Linked DNA regions of Xenopus tropicalis. The protein of the gene in region 1 interacts with the protein of each later gene in a pairwise test. Links are inferred from orthologs where the notes say so. Each region holds a gene or a part of one and is shown in the gene's direction. Other genes may lie near its edges.

Evidence for each region. The genes of interacting proteins can lie anywhere in the genome.
Region 2: the proteins of daxx (region 1) and prmt1 interact in a two-hybrid assay, tested with the Homo sapiens proteins (2 studies listed by BioGRID and IntAct). The link is inferred for Xenopus tropicalis from reciprocal best matches to the Homo sapiens genes DAXX and PRMT1.
Region 3: the proteins of daxx (region 1) and btbd6 interact in a two-hybrid assay, tested with the Homo sapiens proteins (2 studies listed by BioGRID and IntAct). The link is inferred for Xenopus tropicalis from reciprocal best matches to the Homo sapiens genes DAXX and BTBD6.
Region 4: the proteins of daxx (region 1) and tcf7l2 interact in binary tests that used the Homo sapiens proteins (3 or more experiments, as listed by UniProt). The link is inferred for Xenopus tropicalis from reciprocal best matches to the Homo sapiens genes DAXX and TCF7L2.
Region 5: the proteins of daxx (region 1) and park7 interact in binary tests that used the Homo sapiens proteins (3 or more experiments, as listed by UniProt). The link is inferred for Xenopus tropicalis from reciprocal best matches to the Homo sapiens genes DAXX and PARK7.

What each region holds. Positions count from the first base shown.
Region 1 is NC_030684.2:72,198,652-72,202,151, reverse strand, and holds part of daxx (death domain-associated protein 6), read left to right. Parts: intron 1-823; 5' UTR 824-887; coding exon 888-1,061; intron 1,062-1,531; coding exon 1,532-2,354; intron 2,355-3,500. UniProt on the Homo sapiens protein: Transcription corepressor known to repress transcriptional potential of several sumoylated transcription factors. Down-regulates basal and activated transcription.
Region 2 is NC_030683.2:111,004,572-111,008,823, forward strand, and holds the start of prmt1 (protein arginine N-methyltransferase 1), read left to right. Parts: upstream 1-1,452; 5' UTR 1,453-1,601; coding exon 1,602-1,631; intron 1,632-3,744; coding exon of another isoform or gene 3,745-3,798; intron 3,799-4,252. UniProt on the Homo sapiens protein: Arginine methyltransferase that methylates (mono and asymmetric dimethylation) the guanidino nitrogens of arginyl residues present in proteins such as ESR1, histone H2, H3 and H4, FMR1, ILF3, HNRNPA1, HNRNPD, NFATC2IP, SUPT5H, TAF15, EWS, HABP4, SERBP1, RBM15, FOXO1, CHTOP, MAP3K5/ASK1, MICU1 and NPRL2.
Region 3 is NC_030684.2:100,782,627-100,786,660, forward strand, and holds the start of btbd6 (BTB/POZ domain-containing protein 6), read left to right. Parts: upstream 1-1,234; 5' UTR 1,235-1,649; coding exon 1,650-1,996; intron 1,997-4,034. UniProt on the Homo sapiens protein: Adapter protein for the cul3 E3 ubiquitin-protein ligase complex. Involved in late neuronal development and muscle formation.
Region 4 is NC_030683.2:3,317,414-3,321,663, reverse strand, and holds the start of tcf7l2 (transcription factor 7-like 2), read left to right. Parts: upstream 1-1,450; 5' UTR 1,451-1,666; coding exon 1,667-1,855; intron 1,856-2,602; coding exon 2,603-2,669; intron 2,670-2,777; coding exon 2,778-2,902; intron 2,903-4,250. UniProt on the Homo sapiens protein: Participates in the Wnt signaling pathway and modulates MYC expression by binding to its promoter in a sequence-specific manner. Acts as a repressor in the absence of CTNNB1, and as activator in its presence.
Region 5 is NC_030683.2:96,565,201-96,569,434, reverse strand, and holds the start of park7 (protein deglycase DJ-1), read left to right. Parts: upstream 1-1,434; 5' UTR 1,435-1,444; coding exon 1,445-1,534; intron 1,535-3,548; coding exon 3,549-3,650; intron 3,651-4,234. UniProt on the Homo sapiens protein: Multifunctional protein with controversial molecular function which plays an important role in cell protection against oxidative stress and cell death acting as oxidative stress sensor and redox-sensitive chaperone and protease.

The sequences.
Region 1 (3,500 bases):
TCATTTATTGCATTCTCCATTGTTCTTCATTACTTGTTTTTGCCTGTGTAAATTTCCTGTAGAACTTTCCATTGTGTGGGGCCTCTATAGGACTCATAAATTTGTAATGTTATGTTTATTGGGCTTCAAACTGTTCATAAGAGCCCTGGCATTTATATTTGAGTTGTTGTATCTTAGTCATTTGACAGAGAGAAGCTTTGTAGTTATGTAGTAGCTGTCTTTTTGGGACCAACTTACCGTTTTACTGTTTTTTAACCATACCTTAAAAGTAGACAGTGTTAAATGTAGTGAGGATATGTTTAAGTTTACTTGGACAGAGGTCTGGGCCTGAACAAAGGTTTACACGAGAAAGTTATAGTTCTTATTTAGCTATGCTTGTTTTTGTAGCTGAAAGTTGTTATATAAGTTGTTTACATCTAAAAGTATACTGAGTCACTCATCTCCAAGCTCGACGAACAAGTCAGTCACCAACATCTCATCACGTGTTGTCTGGAACATTGTATCACCAAAGACCGTACAGAGTGATTGTGCGTCAAAGGACATGATATAATAAGAACACTGGACAATGATTGGTTAACATATTGGACTTGGGAAGGAAAGAATTGGACTGGGGGGGGGGGGGGGGGCTGTTACATTATTTGTGGCTTATTTTTATAGTCAGTAATGTAAGTTTGGAAGGCTTATGTACATAGTATTGTACACCAGTGTATTAAACATGTCTTCTCATGAATTCAGAGTACTGATGGCATTTTAAAGAAGATTACCCCCCCAAAAATAAATTACAATTTGTAAATGCACATCTCATTTTATTTATTTTTTACAGGTCTATGGCTTATGCCATGTTGTCTCCGCCAAAACTTTTTCCTTAAGGTCCTGTTCGCTATAAAATGGCTCTTGTGGATGATGTTATAATACTAGATGATGATACAGATACTACAAATGTCGTTCCAAATGATTCAACTTGCGAGCGGCTTTCACCAGAAATTAATGGAAAGAAAGGAAGAGAAAGCAAGAGGAAGTCAGGCTCGATGAGTGCAGAGAATACCGCGTTATTTGAAAAGGTAGGGTTTTTCAAGTCACTATCTCTGTTTCCTGTGTTTTGCTTTCCCTTTCTGTAGCCTTTTTTTTCCCTCTTTCTTCAACTCCAGCCCATGGTTGATCAACTTATATCCTTTCTCTCTGCTGTTCCCAATCATTCTTGTTTTTGGGTATGTAATAGAATGACCAATTCTCCGAATGTTTTGCCTTTTCCGTCTGACTCTTTATAGCTTTCAGATGGGGGGGGGGGGGTTATTAATATTCCAATCTCCTATTCAAACCACTGCCTGGTTGGTAGAGTAAATTGCTGAAATTCTAAAATGGAGAGCAGTTTAAATAAAAAATCAAGACTGACTGACTGCAAGTTGTCTCAGATTATTACTCTCTAAATTATAAAATTAAAAGCGAATTCAAAGATGAATAAAACCTTTAATTAAAATTTTGTTCTTTTTTCACATTAATCCTTACACACAATCACCTCTAAACTTTTCAGTTTGTAGATTACTGCACCAGGCTCACCCAAGAACACCCTGAAGTTATTGTTTTTCTCAGAGGTCGTCTTTCCAAGGCCAGCCCTTCTTTCTTGTCCTCTGTTGAGTTTCATAACATATTGGGTCGCTGTCTCACAAGGGTGCAAAGTAAGCACACAAAAGTCTACGTTTATATCAATGAACTTTGTACTGCACTAAAGGCCAATACAACCAAGCGCAAGATTATCTTAAAGTCACCTGCTCATCATACAACATCCATAGAACATATAGAGGGAGGCAGCACAATAGAAGAAGAAGAAACAAAGGAAGAAGAGGAGAGTACATCAAAGAAAGCTGGTTCCAAAGCTCAAATTCGGTATCTTGAAAACCTGCTTCAGACATTTTCAAGGGAGATTCAAAAACTGCAGGAGAAAGAGTTAAGCCTTGACGAACTGGAAGATGAGGACTCTTCATACATACAGGAATCCCGTCTTAAAAGAAAACTACTTTGCATCTTCCACAAACTCTGTCAGTTGAAGGGTTGCCCCAGCCTTACTGGTCGAGTAATAGAGCAGAAGATTAAATATTGTGGCACGCGTTACCCAGAAGTTAATCGCAGGTTGCAAAAGTTCATAAATGAAACTAGTGATGGCTTCCCAGACTATGGTGATGTACTTCGAGTGATACAAAAGGCCAATGAGAAGCACAGTCTTGGTTTGGTGCGCAGACAAATGGAAGGGATGGCCCAGGATGCATTTCGTGAGCTAGGAAATCGACTGCAGGAAAGAAGGCATCTCGATCTGGTATATAACTTTGGATGCCACCTCACTGATGCCTATAAGCCAGGTAAATGCGCAAAAGATGAAAATGCTATTCCTCTTGGTCATGTGTTCTTCTGTCTAGGTGTGATTGAAAAAAACTTGCACAATGGATTAAAAATGTATGCAGGCTCCTAAATTATAACAGCATTCACATTTACACTTTGTGTTAAAAAGGTAAAAATGAACACTTGATTCTGGTTTTTAGGAATAGTGATATCTTTTGACTGAGAAGTGGTTGATGTTCATACACCCTTGATTTTTTCCTTTTTACTTAGTCTTTGTTTAGCCTATCCCTTTATGTTTTACCCCCTTTTTCTTTTTCCGGTTCCCTTGTGTGAAATCTGTAATTTAGCTTTTTTTCTTTTGATCATTCTTTCCTCCTTCCCACCCCTCCATGACTATCCAATGGTTTTTACTTTTTCCTGTGGAATGGGTATCAGACTCAATAAAAGATAAAGCATAACATTAGCTTCACTCCTATGTGGCATCTTCAGGTTATTAAAATTTAACATTTATTAGTCCATAAATAAAGGGTGCTCATCATTCCAGTACCTTAGACCCACCAATGAATGAACAAAACACGTGTGTGTATTGGATCAGCTTGTGTATATGTAGAGAGTGCTGCTGCAGGAATTGAAAGTCAGTGGAGAATGAGAGATGGGTAAACAAAAAAAAACAACGTGCCAAGCATTGGTGCTTTCTATTATGTGGATTTGTTAGATGTTTCAGTTCCTGGAGTAGTGCTTTTCCAATGGTCATGCAGATTTGGATTTGTCCAGACTAAACTGAATCTGGATTGTTAATTTCATATGACTTTAAAGCATATTGGTGGATGAGGGGAGATTTATTTACGTAAATTCAGACTTGGTTTAGTATTCAGGTGAATTGTTTGTGGATAATATTTGGCCTTATATAGTAATCATGATGGATTCATCAATAAGCGACTGAAGTTTGTCACATGGCTGAAGGCAATTGGGAAACTAAATGGCTAGCCTCATGTCAAATTTAAAATCAGATATTAAAAAAATGTGTTTGCTGTTTTTGGAAAACAGACTCCTTACAGAATTCTGCTGGAGAAGCTCTACTAACTGGCGTGTTTTGTAAAATTACATGTTTTTTTGTGATTCAAGGATTTTTTGGATTTGGCTTGGAACTGATTGAGTCTGTTGAT
Region 2 (4,252 bases), on another chromosome or scaffold:
CCGGCCCAAGGAAAGCCTCCCATAGGGCTCAATGGCACTCTGCAGCTCCAACCCGGCCCAAGGAAAGTCTCCCATAGGGCTCAATGGCACTCTGCAGCTCCAACCCGGCCCAAGGAAAGTCTCCCATAGGGCTCAATGGCACTCTGCAGCTCCAACCCGGCCCAAGGAATGTCTCCCATAGGGCTCAATGGCACTCTGCAGCTCCAACCCGGCCCAAGGAATGTCTCCCATAGGGCTCAATGGCACTCTGCAGCTCCAACCTGGCCCAAGGAAAGTCTCCCATAGGGCTCAATGGCACTCTGCAGCTCCAACCCGGCCCAAGGAAAGTCTCCCATAGGGCTCAATGGCACTCTGCAGCTCCAACCCGGCCCAAGGAAAGTCTCCCATAGGGCTCAATGGCACTCTGCAGCTCCAACCCGGCCCAAGGAAAGTCTCCCATAGGGCTCAATGGCACTCTGCAGCTCCAACCTGGCCCAAGGAAAGTCTCCCATAGGGCTCAATGGCACTCTGCAGCTCCAACCTGGCCCAAGGAAAGTCTCCCATAGGGCTCAATGGCACTCTGCAGTTTGGGAACCTATTATTTGGCTTAATTTCAAGGGAATGTTCACCTTTGCATTTAGTTTTAGTATATAGACCTGTTTATGATAAAAATAACTAGCTAAAACCAAATACCAACTAATGACCCTTATCACCAATGTGCTAGTGACTACCTGCAGTATTGCCAATGGGTCAGGCTGATACTGCTGAGGGCACTGGAAGCAATTTCTTTCAAATAGTCTACAAATGCATTTGTTTATTAACAAAAAAAACTTTCCAATATATAGATTATATTTTACATTATAAATATTGGAAAGTTTATGTTTTTTAATAAACATTCATACATTTCTGGGAAGCCTTTACTTTACCCTAAAGTATTTTATATCTATCTGTTTAATTCAGAGTATTAGCAACCAAAACAGTAGAGATGTGATGCACTTTACAGGTTTCTGCTTTCATGGAATCTTATGACTGGAGAGGACACATTGGACAATAACATAGGCATGGAGTCGTGTGCACAGATTTGTCAGCTCACTTTATACTGATAAGGCTTATATTGAGTCCAGTTCTTCCTCGGAGGATATATGTGTGATTTCTGTCATATAACCCAGGCTAATAAAATATTTTTTCAAGAATAGTATTGTGACTCCAGTACCGCTCGGCCGAAACTCGAACTACTAAAATTAAGCTAGCTCAACATACAAAGACTCCATTTTATTACGCAATGTTTTACGTTTTAAACAAACTCACCAATCAGCCAAGCGAACGAACTGACGGGCGGAGCCCTCTGCCAGTGAGTGGGCCAAGATTTATAGAAACTGGCCAATGGGAGTACGGGGATGGGAGGGGGCGGATCAGTTTCGCGAAGAAAGGCACAATCTGCTCTTGTTGAGGGGTAGAAAAAAACGCGCGAAGGACGCCGGGGCGGTGCCGTGTGTGGGCGGGGCTTGTGCTTCTCTATATAAAAGGCAAAGGGGCCGAAGCGCATGTCGCAGTTCTCTCGTACAAAGCCGGTGGCGTGGCTTTGAGTTTCTTTTTTAGATTCGTGAGAGAGACTGACAAACATGGCTGAAGCGAGCACCTGCAACATGGAGGTAACTAGCCGAGAGAAGAGCTATGGGGAGTGGGTGGGCTGTGCGCTATAGCCGAGCGCTTTGTGAGGCCACTGCGGCCTTTTAACTCTTTAACACTCTACGCTCTCAATGGCGGCGAACTAGCACATCGCCCCATGGCCGCCCCGTTAAATGGCTGGAATTTGCTCACTTAGGGCTTAAACGCCGCAGGGCCTGGGTCTCTGTTGAGCGGTTCTGCAGAACCCCTAGGGTGCCGGGGAGGCGATAATGCTGTAGTACAGCAGTGACTCGTCCTTTTTAAAGGGATGTGGTATAATGGCGGCTAGGAGCCTCGCACACGGGCGTCCACTGCGGGGAATTTCACGCGTGGGGAGATATCGTGACGTAAGTAGCGCGTCCGTGCTGAGAAGCCAGCGGCCACGTGTTCCCCAGGCGATGCCCCGCCCCTAGCCCCGCCCACATGCCGGTAGCACAAAGCCGGGCCTGGCTGGAGCCGGAACACGTGTGTCCCACGCCGCGCTCTTCCCACTGCCCACGGCTCGCCATTCTTCCTGCCGGCTTGTATCGAGCAGTCTCTCAGTAATGGGGTGGGCCATGGCCGCATGCTAACGGCTCCCCTTGTCTCTTGTGAGACATGAGATTCTAGTGTCCCGCCATTCCTCCTGCTCAGTGGGGGGGGGGGGTCGATCCTAAACCAACTTCATTTATTTTATTCGACACAACCATGTGTTAGATCGCTTTTTGTAGATTCTCTGGGACTGTGCTAGAGGGTTGATGGGTAAAGGGCTATAGAGGGTTTGTTCACCTGAGTTACTCAGAATGAGGTAGAGTGTAATCTGAGAATTTGCAATTGGTCTCTTTTGTTGGGTCTTTTAACTTCAATTTGTTCAACATTCCAGTTTGGAATTCCAGCTGCTATTGGGTTGGTAGGGTTCTACTAGCCTTAGCAACCAGGGAGTGGTTGGAACAAAGGGCAGGGATATGAATTGTAGGTCTGAATAGTACGATAATCAGTGAAAAGTAATACAATTGTGGCCATATAGAGCAAAGATTCTTGGGATCTGAGACCCACATCTGAAAGCTGGACCGGTTAGAAGGCAAATTTAGAAACTATATATAAAGCCCCATTGAATACATGTATGTAGCTCTGGACTGGGTTTTAAAATAGGTTTTGGTATTTAAAGTACAGTAGCCCACTGAATAGTTACGGTTTATGGTATTTTAAAGCGGCTCCTCTGGAATTGCCAGATTGGTTGTGTTACATACATATGCACAGATACCCAGATACAAGACCTCCGGCTGAGTGCAATTATTAAAGGTCCTGGAACTCCATATTCTGATCTATTTTATGGTGGTGCTTTTATATTGAATGCTAATTTTGGTAAGATTTGGCAGACTATTTACTTTCCTAGATTTACTTAAATTTTCATTTTGAAGGTGTTAAGATGTGTGGGGCTGAAACTGTTCTACATATTTGATTGTATAAGCCTTACAAGTTGCATCTGTAGACTTGCTGTAAACTAAGGGGCTTGACCTAAGCTCTGATGGCCATTGGCTTACTGATGGTGATTAGCAGTAGTGATTCTGTAACCTTTGACCTGTTAACTTTAAAGGGGGCATTGGCTAAATGAAGAAAAAACTGATTTTGTAGGCAATTATGAATATTTGGGGCTGGCTTTACTTTTATTGGAGCTCCCTATAGATCCTCAGGTTCCTGTCAGTGCTTCAAATGAGGGGTAGGCGTGTCCTTAAGATCCCTGCCAGAAGTACAGTAATGGGGAAATAGGCAATCACAGTCCGGCAGTCACACAAGCAAAGGCTTCAGTTCCCTATCAGGTCAGCCAACCTGATGGGAAACCGATTGGTTCCTATCCTACAGTGCAGTGTACAGAGTGCTGCCAGCCCCCCTTCACATCTAGTGAAACAGATGGGCAGGACTATTAGGGTTTTGGGGGAATCTTTCAATCAGTCCAAGACACAACTTTTTTTTTAGCACAATCCTTCTGTATTTCATAATTTTCACATGTTTCCTTTAAAGCTGTCTGAAATTAGATGCTTGGCTGTTGCTGGCTTGACCTGTGGCTAGCTTAAAAACAAGTTACATTGTGAACTTTTCCATGTTACTTTTTTCTAGAACTTTGTAGCCAAGTTGGCCAATGGAATGAGCCTGCGGACTCCAATAGAAGATGTAAATATCCTTTAAATTTTTGGCTAGTTGTGTTTTGGCCAACTTGGCTTTAGAGTTCATGTAACAAATGCCATTTCACTACATGGTACTGTGGTGCAGTGGTGTTACAGCCTGATTAAAGAAGTAAAGGTAAAAATCCCAACTTGCATGCACAGGCTGGTGCCCAGGAAGCTTGTTTCTGAGCACCCTGCCGCCATGCTTTTCTGCCCAAGTGCACATGTGTAGTACAGTATATCTTGGACTCGCTGTGCTGCTCATGGGATGCACCATAAATAGGATAAAAATGTTGGGGCTATACTCCTGTATTCATGATTACTGGACTCGGGCACCAGCTTCATGAGTAGAATTACTGGTGGTCACACCTCCTAGTGATTTTTACCTTTACGTCTCTTTTTAAAAGTGACTTATACCTATACTTTTTTCAGGGTGCTGAATAAAGTTTCAGACCAGTTGT
Region 3 (4,034 bases), about 29 Mb from region 1:
GTGACAGGAAATACAAAATGCACACATCACCAACCTTAATAAATCTGTAGCTGATTAACTTCATTGCTTACGTTATGGCCTAACTCATCACAAAATGCCACAGGGGACAAATGACAATATAAATGAGAATCATGCAATTTGAGGAGCACACTCTGCGAAAAGCCACTACTGACGATATCCTATGGCTTCACTTTATTATAATGTGGTCCCAGCACAAAGTATATAATAAATAAGAAGCCCACTACATCGAAAAAGCTTAAACGACGCAGATGTTGAATAAAAGTTTCTATTTGCTATTACAAGCCATCTGACTGCACTATAACATGTGTTTATACACGCTTGCAGTAGAGCAGCCAATACTGGCTGAGATAGACACAGAACAGGCGAAGAACAAGGGACATGGGGATAGGAAGGCGCGTATTGTCTTTCTGCTTTGTGCTACGAGATACACAACTTCTTTCCATTGGTGGAAAATCATTGTTTTGAATCCGGACGGGAAAAAAAACTTCCCGAGCAAGCGCCCCCTAGCGCCCGACACAGAGAAGGACGCATCCCAAGAAGAAGTGAGGAGAGAAGGAAGGGAGCGAGTGCCTGGGACTGCCCCTCACTGCCATCTCCTCATCCCACCGTCGATCCCGATGCGCCGAGTTCCCTCTGCAAGGTACGGAACACTGCGCACAGGCAGCAGGAGCTCATACGCGACTCCCAAGGCTCTGCAGCTGTTGTACGACTAGAACTAGCACTCTCCTCATATAGCCTGAGGCTGCGCTGGGAGTTGAGAGTTGTAGTGTCACAACAGCTGGACGGGCGAAGGTCGGAACATCCCTGCGAGCTAACGAGTGCTGCAAATTGCAATACTCAGCGGGATGTGACTGCCCATGGGCAATGCCAGCTGAATGTATACATAAAGCGGGTAAGACTTTGCAAGCGGTTTAACTCTCGCAGTGCCTAAAGGCTATGACGTTGCAGCTGAGTACACCCCTCCATTATTCTACTGGGGAGAATTGCTATGCCTATGGGCTGCTAGAGCACGGAAAGCACCGGGCTAGTGGAAGAATGACATATTGTGTGATCTAGCTGCCCCTTCAGCTCCCCTCTCCCTGTGTGACAGGGGCTGTAGATGGTGCAAAGGCTGCTGTGAATGGCTGCGCTGCGCGCATTGATTGGCGGAGGCGGGCGTGACGCGCTGGCTGGCTGCTCCCTATTTGAGCTGTAGCCTTGCCCCTGTACACGTAGAGCAGCACTGAGAGGAGGAGGAGGCGCTCTGCGATACGCTGGGCATATGCTCCGCAACACAAAAGCAGAAGCAGCTGGTGCATCCCAGAGAGGCAAATCGCAGCCCCGCATTACTCGCTAGGATGTGATTGCCCGGCGTGCCCACTGCTAGGGGCTGTGTGGGATTACCGTGCCAGCGGATAAGGAGACGTGACAGGGCTGGATACTGGGGTCTTGGGGTTTGAGAAGCATCTTGGGAGTGTAAGCGCTGGCCTTGGAGTGCCCTCCCTCGGTTGGGCGCATTATTGCCCTGTGATGGACTATCTATCGGTGCGGGACTCAGATCGCTTGGCAAGTTCTAGGAGACTGTCTCATCGGGTGGCTGATGCCCAAGCCATCGCACAGAGGACCTGCTGCTAGCCGCCCCCTTGCCCATGCCACTAGACCCAGGCTGCCTTAATGGCAGGGTCATGAAGTGTTTGACTTTCTTTCTTCTGCTTCCAGAGACCTTAAAGAAGTCTAGAAAGAGTGCCAGGGCACAGGGCAAGGTGCAAGCATGCTATGAGATAGTGCCCTTGGCCCTCAAGAAGAAGATGGCTGCAGAGCTTTACCCTGCCAGCGCAAACACCAATATCGCTAACAGTAACGCCGCTGCCAACGCCAAGAAGAACGCCCTCCAGCTCCAGCAGGCTGCCCCGCCGCCGCCGCAACTCCACAACCTCAACAACAACAACATTGAGAGCGGCAACTGGCAGTCCTTCCACCCGACCCTGCGGGAGAGGTGAGCCCACAGCGCCCCCTGTGCCCATCCGCTCCCTCTGGTACCCAGCAGCACCGTGTGGCAAAGGGCACCTGGCTGGTAGAGCCAAAGCACATTCGGCTGCCACAGTCACAGCCCTAGCGAGTAATGCGTATATTCATTTACTGCCATTACTTTGCAGCAGCCCTAGCATAAACATAGCACATACACTGATATTAGTACAAAAAAAAGAGCTAGCCCTGCACGTTTTGAAGGAAAGTGATACAAGGTGTGGGTTGCAAATAGGATATGTGATATTAGGTTGGTAGAGTTCACCTCTAAATAATTGAAGTAAACCAAGCACAGCCCCATAGAGAGACCTGAAGCAGTAGTATTAATTATAAAGCTACACTACATAGCTAAGGTTCTGTGGAGCTCATTTATCAGCCTATTCATTACATATATGGCACTATCACAAACATTACTATGGTGCTGTCAGACCCTCTAGTAACCAATCACAGCTGAATGCTTTCAGAGGATGCTGGGATAAGCAACTGAACAGATGAAGGGTTGCAGATAGGAGGTCCTGTTCTGCTGTGTAAAAGCCAATTAAATGATTAGCAGCGTTAGCTACACTACAGCATATGCATATCCGACACACAGCTAGCAATATAGAGCTGTTTTACTGCATTCAGATGCACCACGTTGCACTGATTTATCAGTCTTATGATTTGAAACCAGCAAGAACAGTGTCATACTGCACTGCCACACACACAATCCACAAGGCTAACCTGCAAGGGTGTCAGTGTCCATCTAGGAATTTCACTGACCGTAAGAAAAAGCATCAGACACACACCTAGAAAACCCCTTACAAGGTTACCAGATGGCTCCCACTACTGTTTGTAGCAGAGGACGGCATGGTGTCCCATAAGTGTTTTTTGCTCAAACGATACCATGAACAAAAACAAAAGAATTTCATTTACTGAGGGCAGGTTCAAACCAGCAAAAAGAGCAACAGATCTTAACGCATCATTTGCCGAGTTAAGGATTTCTTAATTTTGCCTTGCCTGCCAGAGATTCAATGCCAGTTTTGTATCTGCTGTTAGTTTAGAACACAAAGTGGCTATGCTTGTGAGCTGGTAGGTGAATGCAAAATATGTGCTAGCATGCCAATGGGCACCCTCATGACCGTTGGTGTTTTCTTTTTTGTTCTTTATTGAACTGTAGGACAAATTTGCTAAAGGTTAATCACTTTAATCACTGCAGTGAAATAAACCTTAGATAAGGGTAACATTACCAGTATGCATTGTGAATGGCAACAACATAGTATACCTATGCCTTAAACCAGCCAATAAGCCAGCAAAATGTAAATATTCCTTCTCATGGGGCTGTCCTGCATCACTGCAGTTCACAATACTCTTTTCAACACAAAATCAATTAGGAGCAGCTTTTTGGAACAAATGATCAGTATGTTGATTGGACAGGTTTTTTTTTTTTTTTTTTTTTTTTTTTAATCATTCTTCCCTGCTGGGTGGGAGAAAAGCACTGAGTCATGTTAACTGAGCTGGGGTAATGCTTTCCTTAACATTGTCTGAAACCAATCACATCCTGGTCAGTGGACCAAACCATTCTGAATTTGGTAGCACAATAAAAACAAAGCAATTCTGAGAAAGCATGATTGCTCAGGATTTGATTTCCACTAATCTAAAGATGCTGAGAGTTTCTATGAACCATGTGAAATCCCAGAGATTATTACTAGTAATTTAAGTGCTACAAGATTATATTGGCTAATCCTAGGAGGGGTTGTTTACACATTTCAAATCACAGGGTTATAGAATAACTTGACACTAGAATTCAGCTTTATGTATGAGCAAATTATGCTGGAATTACTATTAACAAGTATAATGTGTAATAAAACATACAGAATACATACCATTACTGTTAGGCAGTAGAGTGGGCCCTGCTCTTTAGAATTTACAATCCAAAACTACATATATAGTGTGTATATATATATATGTATCCAAAATACCAGGTAACAGCTTCAAGTGAAGCTGTTTTATTGATTTTTACTCAGCAAGCG
Region 4 (4,250 bases), on another chromosome or scaffold:
GTGAGAGTGTGGTGTTGAGTGTGCAAGAGAGAGTGTGAGTGAGTGTGAGTGTGAGAGAGAGTGAGTGTGCGAGAGAGAATGAGTGTGTGAGAGAGAGCGTTAGTGTGTGTGAGTGTTGTGAGAGAGTGTGTGAGTGTGCGAGAGTGTGAGTGTGCAAGAGAGTGTGTGTGCGAGAGAGAGTGTGGAGTGTGGAGAGAGTGTGAGTGTGCGAGACAGAGAGAGAGTGTGAGTGTGCGAGAGTGTGAGTGAGTGTGTGTGCGAGAGAGTGTGTGAGTGTGCAAGAGAGTGTGAGAAAGAGTGTGCAAGAGAGTGTGAGTGTGCAAAAGAGTGTGCGAGAGTGTGAGAGAAAGAGAGTGTGAGAGAAAGAGAGTGTGTGAGAGAGTGTAAGTGTGTGAGAGAGTCTGTAAGTGTGTGAGCAAGTGAGAGTGTGAGAGACAGAGAGCATGTGTGTGACAGAGTGAGAGAGTGTGAGAAAGAGAGTGTGCGAGAGTGTAAGTGTGAGAGAGTGTGCGAGAGACAGAGAGCATGTGTGTGAGTGAAAGAGAGTGTGTGAGAGACAGTGTGTGACAGAGAGAGAGACGGTGCAAGAGTGTGAGTGAGTGTAAGTGTGTGTGAGAGAAAGAGTGTTCGAGAGTGTGTAAGAGACAGAGAGTGTGAGTGTGCGAGAGAGACAGTGTGTGTGAGAGAGAGACGGTGCGAGAGTGCGAGAGAGTAATAAGACAGCGGTGCTGCCCCTCTGACAAGCTGGAGACTTTCTGCTTTCCCATGATGTGAGCCTTCCTCCTCCTCCTCCTCCTCCTCCTCCCCAGCCCCATAGAGAGTGCACTTCCCTGTGCTGCCCCTCCTGCCTCCCTCCTGCCTCCCTTCTGCCCTCCCCTTCCTTCTTTCCCCACTTTCTAAAGTGCACTTGTCTCTTTGTGCTCATGTTGTTGGTCTCCTAGCTGCACCCTGTCACCCTGACTCCCCCCCCCCCAAACCCAATCACCCCCAGCTCAGGGGCACTTTCTGCCTGTTACCCCCCCCCCCATGACTTTTTCTCTCTCCCAAATTTTATTTTTTGCTGACATTTATTGCTGCAACGTCAGCAGGCAGGCCCCGCCCCTGTGCATGTCATTAGGGCCCCCCCCTGAGGGTGCCTGTGAGTGAGCTCCTTTCCATGCCAATAATCCTGGATCCAGACTCCCCTCCTCCTCTTCCTCTCCAGCTGTCAATCACAGGCGCCTTTGAACTGAAAAGCTTCCCAGTCCGACTTGCTCCGACTCAATTGGGGCGAGTGCAGCTCAGTACCGGGCTCTCTGTGTGTCTCAGCCCGGCTTGGGGCCCGGAGTAGTTTGGGGGGGCTGCAGTCGGACTGAGCCGCGGATTTGGGGGCCGCGCATTTTGCTCTTTTTCTCTCTTTATTTTTGGCTTCTTGTTGTTGTTGAATCTGGCGGAGTGCGGAGCCGGGAGGTGGGGGCCCCGCTAACCGGACTGGCACAGCCCCCCCTTTCCCTCCCAGCCCCCCCACCGGCAGCACAAAGCAGGGGAACAGCCCGGGGCCCCCTCTCCCCCCCACATTGCAGGAGCCGGGAGCGGCCAGGGGAGGAAGGGAAACTTTTTTTGTCGGAGGGGGGAATCTTGGGGCTGAGTCTGGGAGTTGCAGTGCGACAGAGTAGCAGGGGCAGAGATGCCGCAGTTGAACGGCGGTGGGGGGGACGATCTGGGGGCCAACGATGAAATGATCTCCTTTAAGGATGAGGGGGAACAGGAGGAGAAAATCTCCGAGATCAGCTCGGCCGAGCGGGACCTGGCGGATGTCAAGTCGTCTCTTGTCAATGAGTCTGAGACCCCCCAGAACAGCTCGTCCGACTCTGAGGTAAGGGGGGGCAACATGTGGGGGCACATGGGGGGGGCAGATAGTGGGGGCAGATAGTGGGGGCATGGGGCACATGGTGGGGGCAGATAGTGGGGGCATGGGGCACATGGCGGGGGCAGATAGTGGGGGCATGGGGCACATGGCGGGTAAGGGGCACAGAGGGCAAGAGGTTGGGGGAACAAACAGGGAAGCGCATTGGGGCACAGAGGGCAATTGATTGTTGGCAGAGGCAGTGTGGGGGGCAGAAAGGGCACAGAGGGCAATTGATTGTTGGCAGGGGCAGTGTGGGGGGCAGAAAGGGCACAGAGGGCAGAGGGTCGGGGGACACAGGGGCAAAGAGTCTCAAAGTGAGGGGGGCAAGTAATAAAGGGGGGCACAGAGGAGAAGCCTCGGTGAGATATCGGGGGCACAGTACCAGCCTGGGGGTAAATGGAGTGGGTGTTTGGGGTAAGTAAATATTTGGGAAGAAGGGGGTAATAGTTGGGGCATAACGGGTACGGGGTGTTGCCCCTGGCAGGGGGGAATTACAGGTAAGTGCCAGGGGGTAAGTGACCTTCTGCCCCAATACTGGCATTTGCAGGAAACTTGCCCTTTGCCGGGAGTAGTGCCCAGAGATGCCCTAGTGTGGGGCAGTACGGGCAGAACTATATACTGGGGCAGGAGTGAGGGCACAAGCACCCCAGCAGGGGCAGATTGATGGGGCAGGTTTACACGCCCGGGGGTAACTGTTTCTTTCCCCCGTATCAGGCGGAGCGGCGCCCCCCTCCCCGGTCCGAGAGTTTCCGGGACAAGAGCCGGGACAGCCTGGAGGACGGTGAGTTCCGAGTGCGGAGATTGGCCGATACTGGGCCGATATCGGGCCGGGCCCGGGCATTGTTTATTGCTTTATAATAAAACTTTACTCTCTTTCCCCCCCATGTAGCTGCCAAAAGGCCCGACGGAGGGCTGTTTAAGGGCCCGGCATATGGAGGTTACCCCTTCATCATGATCCCCGACCTGACCAGCCCCTACTTGCCCAACGGATCTCTCTCTCCCACTGCCCGAACGGTAAGTGGCTCCTCAGGGGAGGGTCCCAGGTAGCAGCCCCGCCCACTGCCCTCTCTGTGCCTGATCAACTTTGATTATATTGCTGCACCCCCATACTGCTTAATTATTACTCATTAGTACCCCCCCCCCCCACTTTGGCCTTGTACTAACACCCTTGGCCTTTGCCTGTCCCACTAATAGTATTCTCTCATTAGTACTCATTAGCCTTTACTATACTGATACTATCTATTCTCTCATTAGTACTCATTAGCCTTTACTATACTGATACTATCTATTCTCTCATTAGTACTCGTTAGCCTTTACTATACTGATACTATCTATTCTCTCATTAGTACTCGTTAGCCCTTACTATACTGATACTATCTATTCTCTCATTAGTACTCATTAGCCTTTACTATACTGATACTATCTATTCTCTCATTAGTACTCGTTAGCCTTTACTATACTGATACTATCTATTCTCTCATTAGTACTCGTTAGCCCTTACTATACTGATACTATCTATTCTCTCATTAGTACTCGTTAGCCTTTACTATACTGATACTATCTATTCTCTCATTAGTACTCGTTAGCCTTTACTATACTGATACTATCTATTCTCTCTTTGTTATATATTATTACACCCTCCCTACACTTTCTCTAATAATATTAATACTCTCTCCTGTTACTCTGCTTTTATTTCACACTTTGCCTCGTTACTTGTTATATTCCAATTTAATACTCTGTTTTTATTAATTATTAAATATTCCAATATTATATCCTCGCTGCCCCCTGTGTATTAATACTCCCTATAATTACCCTTTCTGTTATTGGTAAAGATACTCTCTCTCTTCAATACCTTGTCTGCTATTTTATTATTATTATTATTACTATTAATACTTTCCCTGTTTTTGCATTAATACTCGGTGTCTTTTCTGATTGTACAAATACTATTTATTAAATACATTCTCTCTCTCAATAAATTCTTACCTCTTTCTGTTATTCCTCTGACACTCACCTTCCTTTTTATTCCTATTAATTCTCTGCTTTTTATTTGAAATGTTTTCCCCATTATTTACCCCCCCACGCTACTGTTACTCCCACATTATCTCTTCCCTTAAGAGAGAAAAATTAATTTTTTTCACATTGATCTCCAACTTGTGGCTGTTCGGCTGAGGTTGTACTACAACTCCCAGCATCCCTTACAGCCTAAGGGCAGTGGGTTGGGGGGGGGGTCACCAGAGTATAAGGATTATTTTTCTTGCCTTTCACCCCCCTGTTTCTTTGGTTTGACCCCGGTGTTTCCCACGTGTATATCTCTATATCTCGCTGTATAGTAATATTGTGTTGCTGTGTGTAGCTGCAGTGT
Region 5 (4,234 bases), on another chromosome or scaffold:
AGTCCGAAAGCCTAGGGAGTTTTATGAGAGGGGTCCTTTAGCAAAAAGCCAATAGAAATACAAAGTAAAAAGGCACTCCCATCTTTGCTACAGAGCAGCCTGACCTGAAAACATCTATTAATACAGTACCTAAAACAATGGTGCCTCTTTTACAATTAGCACTGTTAACCCATTGGTTTCTTGCTCACCTGTTCACTTGTCGATCAGTAATGTATTGTGATACAATTACGAAAAGCACAGATTTGCTTTCCTAGATTATCCTAAAAGCAAAACTTCTGTTTAAATTACATAAAAATGTATTCTGTACACCTAACGTTTGTATGAGTTCATCCAGCGCGTTCTATTATAAGGTTCATTCTATAGCCCTATAGAGAGCCATGAATGCCCACTGTATCATATACAGCTTATCAGTTATCTGCTATGTAAAGGTGTGTCCTATAGCCCCATGAGAACTTGGATTGTTGCTCCCATGGCTACACAGCAACTTATTTTACCATAGTAGCACTTGTCAAGCAAACTCAATTTTCTCATGCAGAGTAAACATGCCCAAACTCAGTTGGGGAGTCTGGACTATTGCCTGAATGCCTATCCTGTCAATCAAAGACTTTACCAATAAAGTGATGTGGGCCCAGTCCCAATGGGTCTGCATAGACTTTACAGACCAAAGGGCCCCTGAGAATGCAGAGAAGCTAGGTCCCTTAATGCAATACTGAGTGGAAAACTTGTTAAACTAAAACTCTCCAACCTCCCTAAGGTGTCAAAGGCTCATGTTAATACAATGTATGTAGTATCAACATGTCTTTCCCTTAGAGATCCCATTAGGACTGGGGGCCCAGATGGCGGCAGGGCTTGAGCTAAGTGGGTGTGTGAGTGGGTACAAGCGCCTCTCATATTATAAAGCTACTCACACAATGACAGGAATGATATTAGTACCGGGAATGTGTGCGTTAAACGTGGGTGAGTGAGGCCGGGTCCCTACCGTCAGATAGCCAGTCTCTCTCTCAGCCTACTCCCACAGATAGCGCACAATAGCATGGAATTGCCTTCTGGGTCAGGAACAAGATGCGCCTGCAGTCGCCGCTATTATTCCCTTTCTCTCACACTCACAGAACAGACAGAAGGTGACGCCATGGGTCATGTGACCGAGCTGTGCCTGTGGGACGCGCTGAGGCAGGAAATGGTGTGTCGGGACTACGACTCCCAGCATTCCAGCAAAGCTTGAAACCTGTCGAGCACCACTGTAACCGCAATGTGAAAGTTCAAGCTATGAAGCCGGAAAAAATACAATGTACAGTTAGAGCCCCCGTTGCGCATTTAATTGAATTAAGCAGAGTTTGACACAAGAGGCTTTCCGTCAGTTGATGCAGGGGGTGGGGCTGTACGTGAGATATTGGTGCGCTCTGGCCCTGGAGGCGGAGTTTGTGAGCTAGCGGAGAAAGAGAGTATGGCTGGCAAGAGGGCTCTATTGATTTTGGCCAAGGGGGCCGAGGAGATGGAGACAGTCATTCCCGCTGATGTGATGAGAAGGGCAGGAGTGAGTAATACATGGCTGCTAGCTGCTTGCGAGACCGTATGGCTGTGCAGCTTGCTGGGCATGGAGGGGTGGTTACACTGAGCTCTGAAGGTGTGGTGCGCTGGCACTGTAACTATTGGCTGGATACGGATTTCTAACATCAGGAAGTTCTAGTTCAGTAGCCGCCGCAGGTTGCCATTAGTTAGTGACTGTGCAACAGGTCCCTCTATCAGTGGCTAAGCACTGCTGCTGAACAGTCACACTGCCTATGTCTGCCTGGAGAAATCCAGCCCTTGCTGTCTGTGGCCTGAGCTGGGAATTAAGCACGTTTGATTCTTTGCCTCATTTGCCCACTCAGTTGTTAGGCGAAATCTGCTGCAGGGATTGCTTGGCCCCAGTGCCAAAATCAGCTCATAATTGGGACCTGTGCTGTCCTACTGGGAGGCACCTTGGCAGTCAGTGCTGGGTCTCAGTCAGTGGGCATGCCTTCCTTTTGGCCCCATACATGGGCTTTAAGATACTTAGTTTGTCTGGATTTAATGACTGCACTTGTCCTGCCAGCTTCTCCTGCCACTGTATGTGATTAACCTGCTGGCACGCAATATAGAAGATATAGAGACCAGAGTCTCTCCCACAAAACAAAGCAGGATCAGTTACCCTTTCTCTGAAAGGTTTGTTAACATTACCCTGTTACCTGGAATGTCTGTATGTGATTTAACACTAAGTGTAAAGATTTAAAATCTAGACCTTTCATGGAATGCAAAATAAGAGAATATATGTACAGAGTAACATAGGTTGAAAAAAAGACACACATCCATCAAGTTCATCCTTTTATGCCTAAATCCTGTCTGTTAGTTGATCCAGAGGAGGGCAATATATCTCTTCTGTTGCAATGACCTGCCCTTTGGGTACTGGTAACTGCAGTTTAGGTAAAAAGGAATGATTACAGAGACCTCTAGTGGTAACAAACCACTGTGCAACTTGTGTGTAATGTAACTTTGTGACCTGTGGTGTTTTTATTATCACCTATTAATAAAATACCAACATATTCCACAGTGTTGTACAACAAATGGGTATATCCATTAAATAAACAAGAAAATATACAATTACAACCAACAACCTATACAATACTTAAAGAAGACCCTGTCCAGAAAAACTTTCAACTTTCAAAAAGGGGTAATTTACTATGACCCGGGCACAAAGGGATGCAAATGGCAGAAACCCTGGCAGCACTACCTTCTAAAATAACTACAAGCTCGTGGACATTGCCTCCAGCAATCATATGCTCAAGAAGTCAGTCCATTGGGCAAATTTTAGACACAAATTGCAGTGTGTTGTTTATTAACATTGCAGCTGATTGGCTGTAAGGTGAGCTGTAGAGTAGGCATTCTTCACATTTTTTGATGTGTTGACAATTTAGAGATCAGTGCCATTTACTGCATTTGTGTACAGACTCCACAATATTCAGAATTCCTGTATTATTGTGGGCACATAATAGTATCAAAAGAAAAAGAGAGGAGCGTGCTCCCATAGGATAATATCAATGGTATAATTTTTTAATTTAAATATATTGCACGTAAATAAATAGCAGCAGTATCAACATCTCAACAGCAAAGTCCATATAAGCCTATAGTGTACAGACTTCCTTTGTGCCCCTGAGGAAGTCTTTTTATCAGAACAACACTTCGTAATAGTGTCTGATTCAACTTATATACTAAATATTGATGGAAAATAGTATGTGTTTTGGTAAACTGCACCTAAGTTACTATGTACAGTTGGCATCACTTCCAGGTCTTCAAATTCACATGCCATCAATAGTGGCTTTCCTGTCTGATATACTTGGTGTAAGTCAATTGAATCTGTGGGCACAAACCACTAATGGAAACCTGGAGCTACTGGCAGGTCAAGGCTCTCTTAATCCCATGGATCCCTTGTGTCAATGCACACAGTTGCATGCAATTCATGAGAGCAGGTCGAATGTTGCATGTTTTGTTAAGAAAAGTTTATTTACAGTTGCCATTTTTCCATTTACCAGATAAAGGTAACGATTGCAGGTCTAAGTGGAAAGGATCCGGTTCTGTGCAGCAGAGATGTGGTGCTGTGCCCTGACACTAGTCTGGAGGAGGCTCGAACACAGGTAAGGTATACGTTCATTATTCATAGGTGTGTTGGGCAAACACTCCTACTTTGGCTTACTGTACTGTGTTTTCTCTCGTGAAGGATAACCACATGCCTTCATTTTGCCTAAAAAAACTAAAATTAACTTTTTTTTTTTCTATAACATTTCTGACTGTGAAAGGCACATACATTATCCACTTGCAATATGATTTGGGGTAACCGGATTCTCTGTATAAATAGGCCATTGGGATTTTTGTGTCTAATCATGTGTGGATCTTGTGATATAAGAGTGTGTAGTGTGTTGATCAAATGCTTGTAGCTTGTTAGTTTTTATTTGCATGTATGAAGAATAATTCTAGCTAATATAGCTAGTGGAATACATATGTTCATTCTAGCAGCAATTCTTTACCGCTATAATCTCACTTTCAGCACAGGCAGGCATGGGCTGGGTGCTTTGCCGGCCAGAGCTGCTTTTTAGTGCCAGTCCAGCTCAGCCCTGCTTGGCTGCTTAACTGACAGTTTGAAGGTCAAAGTCTATTTCAGTACATGACACTTTAAAAACTCACCCACCTGCTAGATGTAAAGCCTCTTCATTTATGATCT